Linked DNA regions of Astyanax mexicanus. The protein of the gene in region 2 purifies or fractionates together with the protein of the main gene of each other region. This does not show direct contact. Links are inferred from orthologs where the notes say so. Each region holds a gene or a part of one and is shown on either strand. Other genes may lie near its edges.

What was found.
Region 1: the proteins of cbx3a (region 2) and chaf1a purify together in Homo sapiens (affinity purification with mass spectrometry; 5 studies listed by BioGRID and IntAct, with this or other methods). This does not show direct contact. The link is inferred for Astyanax mexicanus from reciprocal best matches to the Homo sapiens genes CBX3 and CHAF1A.
Region 3: the proteins of cbx3a (region 2) and l3mbtl2 purify together in Homo sapiens (affinity purification with mass spectrometry; 5 studies listed by BioGRID and IntAct, with this or other methods). This does not show direct contact. The link is inferred for Astyanax mexicanus from reciprocal best matches to the Homo sapiens genes CBX3 and L3MBTL2.

The regions. Positions count from the first base shown.
Region 1 is NC_064423.1:23,636,582-23,640,335, reverse strand, and holds the start of chaf1a (chromatin assembly factor 1 subunit A), read left to right. Parts: upstream 1-1,197; 5' UTR 1,198-1,428; coding exon 1,429-1,498; intron 1,499-2,628; coding exon 2,629-2,679; intron 2,680-3,513; coding exon 3,514-3,754. UniProt on the Homo sapiens protein: Acts as a component of the histone chaperone complex chromatin assembly factor 1 (CAF-1), which assembles histone octamers onto DNA during replication and repair.
Region 2 is NC_064410.1:62,359,473-62,363,226, forward strand, and holds the start of cbx3a (chromobox protein homolog 3a), read left to right. Parts: upstream 1-1,394; 5' UTR 1,395-1,542; intron 1,543-3,754.
Region 3 is NC_064422.1:28,444,591-28,448,344, reverse strand, and holds the start of l3mbtl2 (lethal(3)malignant brain tumor-like protein 2), read left to right. Parts: upstream 1-870; 5' UTR 871-1,047; intron 1,048-1,611; 5' UTR 1,612-1,792; intron 1,793-2,197; 5' UTR 2,198-2,281; coding exon 2,282-2,650; intron 2,651-3,058; coding exon 3,059-3,218; intron 3,219-3,449; coding exon 3,450-3,583; intron 3,584-3,754. UniProt on the Homo sapiens protein: Putative Polycomb group (PcG) protein. PcG proteins maintain the transcriptionally repressive state of genes, probably via a modification of chromatin, rendering it heritably changed in its expressibility.

The DNA.
Region 1 (3,754 bases), on a different chromosome or scaffold from region 2:
CAGTTCTGAGGGTGAGCTGAAAATATGAAACTGAAGAAGCCATGGCCTGAAGGATAGAGAAGCAGTCTTGTGATTACAAATAATGAAGTGCATCTTAAAAAGGGTAAACCCAATAAAATGTACAATACCAGCAATCCCTTTAGCACTCAGGAGTGAAAAGCATCTGAGCTCTTGCACCTTGCTGGACTTCACAAGGCCTCAAAGGACTGCAGCTAATGGATGTTAGGTGTGAGTTCAGGGTGACGCCATCTCACAGAATTCCAGGACTGGGAAACTGAGCCTCAGTGTTAATTTAAGCTCCAATTTAGAAAAATTAAATTCTAGAAACTGAAGTTCTAGGTGTTTGAAAATAGTAAAAGAAGTAGTGAGTAGTAAGAATCCAGGAAAAAGCACTTTGCAACCAAAGAAAAATAACATACATCTAGCGAAAATTAATATGAACACAGCCAAAAGTAATATGCACAATTAAAAAGCAGTAAGCAGAGGAAAAATATGTATACAGAAAAACAAAAATGTGCACTTTATTGTACGCATAGGAAGAAAGTGGAATAAACACTTTACACAAAATTAACAAATAATCATAAAAAGTTGTAAACAGTTTAAAAAAAAAAAAAAATAGTACGCATAAGTATGGCTGCTGTCTTCTATTAATAAATGTACATAATTATTGAAAGTCGCTTTGGACAAAAGTGTCTGCCAAATGTAATGTAATCTAATGTTAAAGTATGCATTTAGAAAATACACTATGTACACTTTAATGCAGTTTACATCCAGAGAAATGTAACATGCATTTAGAAATAGTAATAGGCACACATGATAATCCATTATTAACCATTAGACTATTTGTATTAGTAAACCTATTAGACTAATAGTATTAACTATTTAAAAAAAAATGTCTACACAGTTAAAAAGTATTTCAATAAAGGTGTCAACCATATACAGTCACTGGTGTCACAGTAAAAAATATATACTAATTTGTAAAATTAAATTTTCAGACTTAACTTCGAATATGAATTTGAAATCAGTTCACATCTATGAAGAGTTTTGACTGTTACTGTGGGAAACGCTGTCCCAGAGGGAGGGAAAGTGCTCTGTCAGGAAGAGCCAATCGCTGAGTTTTATGTCCGCGGTGACGAATCGCCTCAGCGACCAATCAGAGGCGGCGAGAGGAGCTCGCGGAGAGCTCCCGCCAATTCTGAGTAAAGCGCGAGGGAACAGCGGGGAAACGGGCAGAAGGGGGAAAGCAAAGCCCGGGCGGAGAGAAGAGCACAGCGGCGCTACAGTAACGTATTCCGCCCCGCTCTCTGTTACAGAGTTAATGAGACCCGGGACCGTTTATTCTGAAGTTAAATAACCTTCTTTAGGACTCTGTCGCTGCTTCGCGAGGCTGTGTGAGCTACCAGAGCCGGGGCTAAGTTGAGGAGACGGATGGTGGTGGTGATGCTTGCGGCCGAAGACCCTTCCGCGGATGGGCCTTTGGCCTCTACGCCACGCAGAGGTGCGAGTCTGGGGTGTCGTTTCGGGTGTCTTTATTTATTTCTGTGTTTTAGTTTCCCAAAGGCTTGTTTAAACTGGTTTAAAGTCTTATTTTCTGCCAACCGTAAGATTTCACCTGTCTGGCCAAGTTAGCAAACCAGCTAGCGTTAGCTAACCTAGCTTATAGATATAGTTTGTAGTTGGGCAGTTAGCCAGTATAGCTAATTTAAGCTAACTACTAACTAGCTAAGTTTGTTGTGAAGTGTTTGGACATGTCGACTATCAGACTTTACTCACCTTCGTATATTGCCATATAAAAAAAACGACTTAAGGGCTGACTTTCTTTTTAACATTTTACACAAATCGAATGCTAATGTCATTTAGCCGACTTAATTAATTTGAAAGCTAAGCTAACTTAGGTAGCGCTTATTTTTGTTTTCGTGCGGTTTTCATATTGTCCATTTTGGTTCTTAGGAGATGTAACTAGCTTAGGTAGCTAACTATACATGTAATTGTGACTTATGTAAGTTAAATGTAACATTAGTTATTTTAGCTAGGCTAAACCAGTCAGGACACAGGGAAAGTAATGTAAGTTAGCTGTAACGTCTGCTCTCTTCTGAGTTCAGGGGCGCCAGCTAGCAGAAGCAGTGGCTGCTCTCAGTAGTAAAGTGCACAGCCGGGCCTGCTGCATAATGGATTCAGTGAATGGCGGGAGAGGAAAAAAGCAAACATTTAGTCAGACGTTAGTAGTTACTAAGCTCAGTCTGCCTGTTCGTCTTGGAAACATTAAAACCGTTCAGTCTCAGTAAGGGCTGTAGGAGGTTCAGTAACTTACTTGAATAGTTTGTTCATTCTGGTCAAGGCATGTTTCCTCAAAGGACCCTCACAAATTGTCTGAACTCTTAAAATGTGTTTATTAACGTGAAAACTGATGTGAAACTGACATATTGTTGCTTTGTACTACGGATGTCATTGTTGTTAACGGTTTAAAAAGAAGTAAATCAAAACTAAGTTCCATTTTCCAGGTTTGTAGATGTTGCTAGCTATATATCTAACTAGGTTAAATGTATTTGAAATAAACGGCATCATTCAGAACTGAAGCTCGAGGCAATAATACAAATCTGGTAATTCAAAATGTCTTTTTTAATGCAGGTATGGACTGTGTGGACAAAGCAAGTGCTGCCACCAAGAAGCTTGTGCAAGGTAACTGGCTAGTTCTGTATGTTACTGGAGAATTCAACTGTTAGCTATGTGTACTGAAAGAGACTTGATCTTAAGTAATATATATATATATATATATATATATATATATATATATATATATATATATATATGAAATGATTTAGTTTGTGTAAGAAATTTGGTAATTTGTCTTGGTTTTAATTAAGCTCTAATATGTATTGGCCACTTGTATATGCACAGTGTATTTACATGCATAACATAAGTGTGTATTGACAAGAATCTGGGAACACAATACGTGTTATGATAATGGGGTTACAGTTCAACTTATTGCAGTACTGGTAGCAAGACAATTTCGATTTTTTAAATGTAATTTTATAAAAGAAGTATAAAACACACCATCACATGCATTAAATCAATAGAAAAGTTTATTGAGCGAAAAAAAAGGTGTAATCTGAAGACATCTAACAGGATATGTATTACGATACTGAGGTTACAATTCAGTACATTGCAATATAATTCTCTCAAATTCAAAATCTAATTTTAGAAAAACTCACCAGCCTATGCATGACATTTAATAGTGGAATCTGAACAAATTTTGAGCAGGAAATTTACATCTAATTGAACCAAAGTGCATCAACAAATCTTCGGATGTATACTGGTAAATTAATAATACATAAAAAATAGTATTTTCATACACTCCTTTTTTGTATTGTAACATTCACAAACAGATTTTTGTATACTCTTCGGTCAGCATGTCCCAGTAATTTAAAAATGCTCAAACTTGATTGACATTGAATCAATGTAAAGGCCAAAGCATTAATTTTTTTTTTTTTTTTTTGCCTTTTTCTTTGGCAGCCCGTCTTCCCTTCAAACGACTTAACCCAGAACCCAAGGAGACTAGGGAGAAGAAAAGAACAAGAACTGGACCGGCTGCTCCCCCTACCCATGAATCCAGTGCTTTGGATAGAGAGAATAAAGAAGATGAACCCTCCCTTCCCTTGCAACGTAGACCTGCTTTGGTTAATGGGCGTGGGCCCCTTGATTGTTTCATGAGTAGGAAAAAACGTACTCCAGTTAGCTCTTCTTCATCTCTAAT
Region 2 (3,754 bases):
ATAATATTGCCCACCCCTAATAGTTATTATGGCTTTTAGAAAAATGTGTTTTTATTATACTTTAAGTAGTTTTGAAACCAGTACTTTTACTTAAAGAGTAAAAAGCTTGAGTTGATACTTCAACTTCTACAGAAGTATTTTAAACACTAGTATATATACCTTTTACTCTACCTGAGTAATGCATGTGTATGGAAATACTTTTCACACTTTTGGTCGCAGCACTACTTACCCAGTGTTGCCAACTCCTCAGTAAGGAAAGTAGCTATTGGCTGTCCTAAAAGTCGCTAGAAGTCGCTAAATGACGTCATCGCCTAATTTGCATAATACATGTTTTTGAAGCTGTAAAGTATTAGGGTTGTGGGAGAGAAAAAAGTGAGTAAAAACACCATAAATGTGTTAGAAATGTTATAAAGGAACAACTTCTGTTGTTTTTTTAAATAGGACGTCACTTTTTTTTACATTAACTTCATTTTTACGTGAATTACATAAATTAGTTTTTTGCCATGTTCTTAAATGTTATTAAAAGAGCAACCGGAACTGTTATTCTATGTTTTTTTTACTTTTTTTTTAGTTTGTTTGTTTTATTTTTATTTTTTATTTTTTTTACATTTTCTTAAGTTTTCTTTATTTTTAAATATATCATAGACAAATTGTTCAATAGTTCAATAGATATTTAGCTTTGTTTTATTTATTATTTTTTTTTAGCTTTGTATTTAGCTTTGTTTTATTTTATTTGTATTTTTTTACGTTTTCTTAAGTTTCCTTTATTTTTAAACCTATCATAGACAAATTGTTCAATGGTTCAATAGATGTTTAGCTTTTTATAAAGAGTGTAACTGTGGAGGAGGTGAGTGACAGGCTGTGTGGTGAATGAGGTGAGTGAATGACTGAGACAGTGTGAGTTAAATTAAGGGATTTCTGTTCGTGTCACACTGAAGACACAGTTATATTTATACTTCTGCTCTGTAAATACAGAGCGGGGTCAGTCAGCGGCGGCTGTGGGCACGCGCGATTCATTTACAGTGTGTTCGTGGAGCGGTGTGTGTGTGTGGGTCTGCACTGTGAGTGGTGTGGGGCGGGGCTCCCGGCAGCGCCCGCTGCAGCGCGGAGGACAGGAACTGAAGAGCGCGTGTTCATCTCAGAGTCGCCAAAAGTCTCCAATAACACCACAAAAACTCGCTAGATTTGTCGCTAGTCGCTTTTTTTTTTTTACAAAAAAAGTCGCTAGAGGGTCTGAAAAGTCGCTAAATATAGCGACAAAGTCGCTAAGTTGGCAACACTGTACTTACCAAGAGAAAAACCCAGGGAGTTTAAATCCCACGCCACGCCTCTTTTACCCCTTCGCAGGAAGCCATTGGCTGTGTGTGAGCACGTAGGGGCGTGGCTGCGCTGAGGGGGCGTGGCTTGACGCACATGTTTCTTCTGCAGCCGCTTAGAGGAGCTGCTGGTTGGCGCGCTGCCAGGTGAAGCCCTGCTGAAGAAGTCCACCGTCCTGCAGCCTCCTGCTCGCTCTGTCTTTACCGGTTTCTGCACAAAGTCAAAGTAAGTCCGTCGGTACGCGCCGTGCACGAGCGTTAGCGCGCGGTGCGTCCGCTTTAGCGTCGATTATTGATCGGTTTGCGCTCTGGTTCGTTCGCTAGCCGGCTCGTGCGCTTTTGTTCGCTTGTTTTTTCGCGCGCGCGCACGCTGCACACGCGGCGTTTTCCCGCTGCAGGGGGGCCGCGCGCTTTCAGTGTTTTTAGCGTTAACTAACTGCGGCGTTTTAACGCGGTAATAACCAGCGTTTTAACGATATTAGCACTGTGTTACTTAGTTAGTAGGTTAACTACGTTATTTTGGTTATATCTGCGTTTAAATGCATGAACTATGAACTAGCCGGCTAGCTAAGTACTTAGCTTGGTTTGAGACTAGTAACTTTAGCTAGATTTAGCTAGATTCATTTAAGTTATAGCTAAATATTGTTTTAAAATGACGCTGTACGACTAAACTAGTGTTTGTAAAGTCAGTTAAACACTACATAACATTAGTTCATTCTTAGTAAGCTAATGTATATGTTTATATTTGGCTGACTCCGTTTTTAGTGGCTAGGTTAACTAGGTAGTAAGCATTGTTGCACATACAGGCCTGTTCTTATTTGGATGTGGTTAACCAACTAAGTTATCTAACCCAGTTCTTTAGCTAGCTGAACAGTTAAGTTAACTAAGGATACAGTTTAATGAGCCAGTTGGCTTTGTTTATACTGGCATTTAAATGTATCAGCCGCCCATAAACCAGCCGGTTAGCTTTGGTAGCCTAGCTAGCTTGCTTACCTACGTTAGAAACTTTAGTAAGACCAGTACATTTCAATAGCTTTACTATTAACACTATTATCAAGTAGTTTTAAACCCAGTTATCATCACATGACGTTAGTTAATACATAGATAGCAAAAAAAAATAGCCACATATATTTAACTTTACTCTTGTAGTACACAAACTAGCTAATAAGCATGGTTACACATACAGGCCTGCTCGTATTTGGATGGTATCTACCTAATTAGGGTTATTTAACTTGGTCTAATTCTTGTAGATAAAGCAGTAAAATATTGTCTATAGCTAGCTTTAATTATTTGGCCTTAATTTCTTAGGCATTTAAGTGGATCAGCAGCACATTAACATTTAAGAGGGCTATCTAGCCTATTAGCTGGGTAGTTTAGCATACTCTTTTAAATTAAACCCGTAACTTGTATTACCGTGCTAGCTAGTTGTTTAACTTGGCTTTTAGGATAGTAGCTAAGCATTTGTAGTGGTAAATATTTAAGTCATATTAACTGCACATAACTGTATTTTAAGTTAATTTAAGATTGGATAAGGTAGCTAGCTAATACGCTGTGTTGCACATACAGGCCTACTCGTATTTGGATGCGTTAGCATTTGCTAACTAGGCGGCTAACGTGGTCTAGTAGTCGTCTAGCTAAATTTTTCTTTTAAGTATATATTTTTAAGTATATTTATTTCTAACTAACACAATTTAATTCAGTATTAGCCTTTACAAGCTAAGTTACGTTAATAATGAAAAATCCTTTTTAAAATGAGCTTCGGCCTACTCCTAGCTAGTTAGCATTAGCCTGTTAACTCGGTTAGCAAGCTAGCGAGCACAAAGCATCGTCGTTTTGTGGTTAAAATCTCGTGTGTGACTGTTAAACTCTGTCTACTTTGTAGGTAGAACATACATTCGTGATTTTATGCGTAATTCAGATTTTGTTGCCTTAATTCTTTAATGACCATCTCTGTTTTCGCCCTCTCCGTCGTAGCCAGCTAACGCTAATTAGCTTCAGTTGTTAGCTAAGCTAACGTTAACTAGCTGCAAAGCCAGCGTTTGGAAAGCTGAGGCGCCGGGTACAGAAACCGTGCAACAAATGCACCATTAAATACAGGATATTTTTATTTATAGTTAGTTAGTTTAGGTATTAAAACACACATTTATACATTGATGGCAGATAAATAGCAAGTTAGTCTTTTACAATGGCATAACAGATCAGAAGCAGCGTTTAAAGCTCCTGTATATAACAATGAAGTTGTGATATGTTACAAGATAACAATAAAAAATAAAAAAATAACAATCGTTATATTATTAGATTAAGGTCATAATAGTACGAAAGAATAAAGTCGCAGTATTTTGAGGAAAATATACTTCTAACTGCTTGGGCTGCTAGTTAAAAACAGAGCAAGTAGGAGGGAAATTAGCATTTTCTGCTCATGATCTGTTACAAGGCTG
Region 3 (3,754 bases), on a different chromosome or scaffold from region 2:
TATTTTGCCCTACTCCAAGATAATAAAGTAAATAAGACCTTATTAGCTGAGTGATATTTTTATTCTATTAGATCTGTAAATCATACTAGACTTTTACGTTTTTTTCCCCACGTATTGATTTTATTAATTAGCTAATAACAACTTGCAAGTGTTTAAGTGTTACGCAGTTTACATTACGACCTGTCTGCATCAATTTATTAAATGTATCAATTTATATAATTAAGTTAAATGAATTTATTGTTACTGACACGCCCCCAACTGGGAAACTCGGGGCTTGACAAAAAATCTGAGCTTCTCATTGGTATATAGATATTTCCGACAGCAAAAGGTAGAAAGTGAATGCGGGTCACTTTTGACTGTGCATTAGAGGAGCAGTACAAAATAGTATTTTTTTAATCAAGTAAAAAAATAAAATAAAGTTGTATGATGACCCCATAATAAGTAAGGAATGCATTAAATACTAAATAATTAAATTTACTTTATTGCAAAAAAAAACTCAACCGGGACATTTAACGTTAAAACAAAAATAATATGAGAGACAGATTGAGATATTTAATAGCTAGATGGAAAAGGTCAGGTTCCACCGAGATTTGAACTCGGATCGCTGGATTCAGAGTCCAGAGTGCTAACCATTACACCATGGAACCGCCATATCGCTACGGGTAGAAGTTTGTGTATTTAATGATAATATGATAGCAGTTTGTATAATGAAACAGATAAAATAGTTGTTTGTCCAATCATACGATAGATCTACAGTTTGCATTATATAAATGTGTTAGTTACAGCTGATATGTGAGTATAGAAGTGAACAGAGCGGTTTTAAACAGTAAGGCGTGAATATCTTCCTCCACTGTGGGGCAGCAGCACGCCTTCAGCCCTCAGCCCGTGATCCGCAAAGAAGCGGGAGAGGCGCTGGGAGGAGCGGTGTGGGGCTGCGGGGTCTGTTTTGGGCTGAAACACGTTGTTTATGCAATGTTTGGTATGTTTTTATGTCGTGTTCTCTGCTAGGATCCATACTTTATATCCCAATGGAGGAGAGAGTCTGAGGTATGGCTGTTTAACATTTTCTTCATTCATAGAGAGCTAACTAATTTTTCAAGCTGTGTTGATGATGTGACTAAAGAAAATAGTCACTGTCGTTTAATAAAACAAATAGCAGAGCAGCCCCGGTTCCCCTTTCACAGAATAAAACCATGCTTTATTTAATGTTAGTACAGCTGTTTTAGTTTGTATCTGGTTTAAGCGGCTCCACAACTCACAGCTTACTGCAGTTTACCAACTACATAATGTCAATGTGTCTAAAAGCTAACTAGGTTAGCTAACCTACATGAATCTGTACATATTAATATAAAACTACAGCTTTATTTTTATTGAGTAAATTATAGTTATTATTGTGTCCTCGATTTTTCAGTGTATTGCAACATTTTGTTTTGATATAACGTTACTGTATCAATTTATTATTAGTTATAATATACAGCCCTGGAACAAATTAAGATACCACTTAAAAATAATCAGTTTCTCTGATTTTGCTTTTTATAGTTATATGTTTGAGTGAAATGAACATTGCTGTTTTAATCTATAAACTACTGACAACATTTCTCTCAAATATAGGAACCTGGATGGTCACAAGCCAGCAGAACTGCTTTAATTTGTGTGGCAAGAGTGGCATAAGGTCACCCAAAAGCAGTGTGAAAGACTGGTGGAGAGTATGCCAAGATGCATAAAAGCTATGAATAAAATCAGGCTTATTCCACCAAAAATTGATCTCTGAACTCGCATTTATTAAGAACTGGTGAGTAATGTTGTCAGTAGTTTACTTGTTAATTAGTTTACATGTAAAGATTCACAGATGGTTCATTTTCTGTTGTGTTTAAAGCCCAACCACTAGATAGCAGTGCTGCACTGTGTGAGATGCATAGCCAGTAATGTTTTTTTTTTGTTTTCACGTAAAAAATTATTTTGATTTAAACAATCACAATATGTCACCTTGTGATATCTTGAATCGTACCTCCTGTAATGTGCTATATATCGTATTGCCAAGTACTTGCCAATACACAGCTCTAGTAAAAAGTCTATTTGGTCCACACTAAGCTACAATACAAGGTACAGCAATGATTAAGCTATTCTATATACTGTATATTGACACATGATTGTCAGTAATAATCAACTCTCATCCTGTGCATCCTGTGTGTTTCAGAGGACCTGCTGTGTTGTGAGCTGTACTCTTCACAGAATAGTTCTTCTTCATCTAACTACCAGTTATACCAGTTAAGGGGGGAAAATGCCCAACTGCTGCGCAGCATATGGCTGTGGAAAGACCCATAAAGACAATGTCACGATGTTCAGGTTTCCAAAGGACCCTGTGAGCTTCCGCAAATGGGAAAAGCAGGTACAGAAGACACGGAGCAAATGGTATGCGAAGGGCTTCTCTTTCCTGTGCTCTGAACATTTTAGCAAGGACTGTTTTGAGCCGAGATCCAACGCAGTGGCCAAAGCCATGGGGTTCAGGGGGCTGAAGCTAAATGAGGGAGCTGTTCCTACAATTTTCATCCGCCGGCCTTGCAGTAACTGTCACGGCAAGGGCTGTGTGTCCTGCAGTCCAAAGAAAAAGAAACACGACATGGGAATGGAGCCCCTGGACTCTGAAGCAGTGAGTATTAGGGCTGTCCATGGAAAAAAAAACTAAACTAACTAGATTAAACGGTACAATTGAACTAAGTTTTAGCTGAGGAGCAAATGAATGAATAACTCTCAATGAATAACTTAAAAACACCTTGTAATGGACATCAGTCAGTAACAAATGCTGTATAAACTGTATATCTCTTCCAACCCATGATCAAAAGTGTCTTGCACTACATTCTAATACATATTAACATTTTAATAGCTGAAATATATTGATCTGTAATAATAAAATATACCATTTCTGCATAAATGCTTAAAAATAAAATAAAAATAGTAACCATATTAACTTATTTGTATTCAAATTTAAGTTAAGACTTCAGGGTAATTGAAATTCTGTCTATTGTATTAATGCTCTTAAGTTTCTTTCTCTCTAAAGGAAGAGTACACAGGGGCTCCTGTGGATCTAGACTCTGATGCTTTGGAGGAAGAGAATGGAGAAGAGGAGAATGAACACATAGAGCAGGACCATTCTGATGGAGTGGTTACTAGTCCCACATTTCGTTCACGTGGTTCTTTTGTGCGCAATGATGTAACAGGTATAGCTAAAACAAACCTAAAAGTTTGAATAACTAAACTCTCCTTTAGATATAGGAACTATTTTAGTACAGAGTAAACTGATAGTCAAACATGTATCAGTAGAAATGTTTCATTTTTGAATTATATTTTTCTGCATTCTGTTTGGTATTAAAAGCTATTTATTAAGATGCATATTGTAAAGTTTTAAAGAGACAGATTTTACTTAATCCTGCTTCTGTGTCTGTCTGCAGTTGTCTGTGAGAAGTGTGGTGTTTCTGGCACCAGAGGAAGCTTCTACTCCAGGAGTAAACGCTTCTGCAGCGCATCCTGCTCACGCTCCTTTTCCTCCAGCTCTAAGAAATCTTCCATACTGGCACAGCTACAGGTAAAGAAAGAAAAAAGACAGACCTCTCAGTTTTTATATGTGGTCTGCCCACACACATGGACACTAGTCCAGAACACAGAACCTTCTTCCTGTGTTTACTTTCTTGCTCCCACCCAAGACAGGTCTGACCAACAACCAGAGAAGATTGTATCACATGCTTTGCTGTGATGC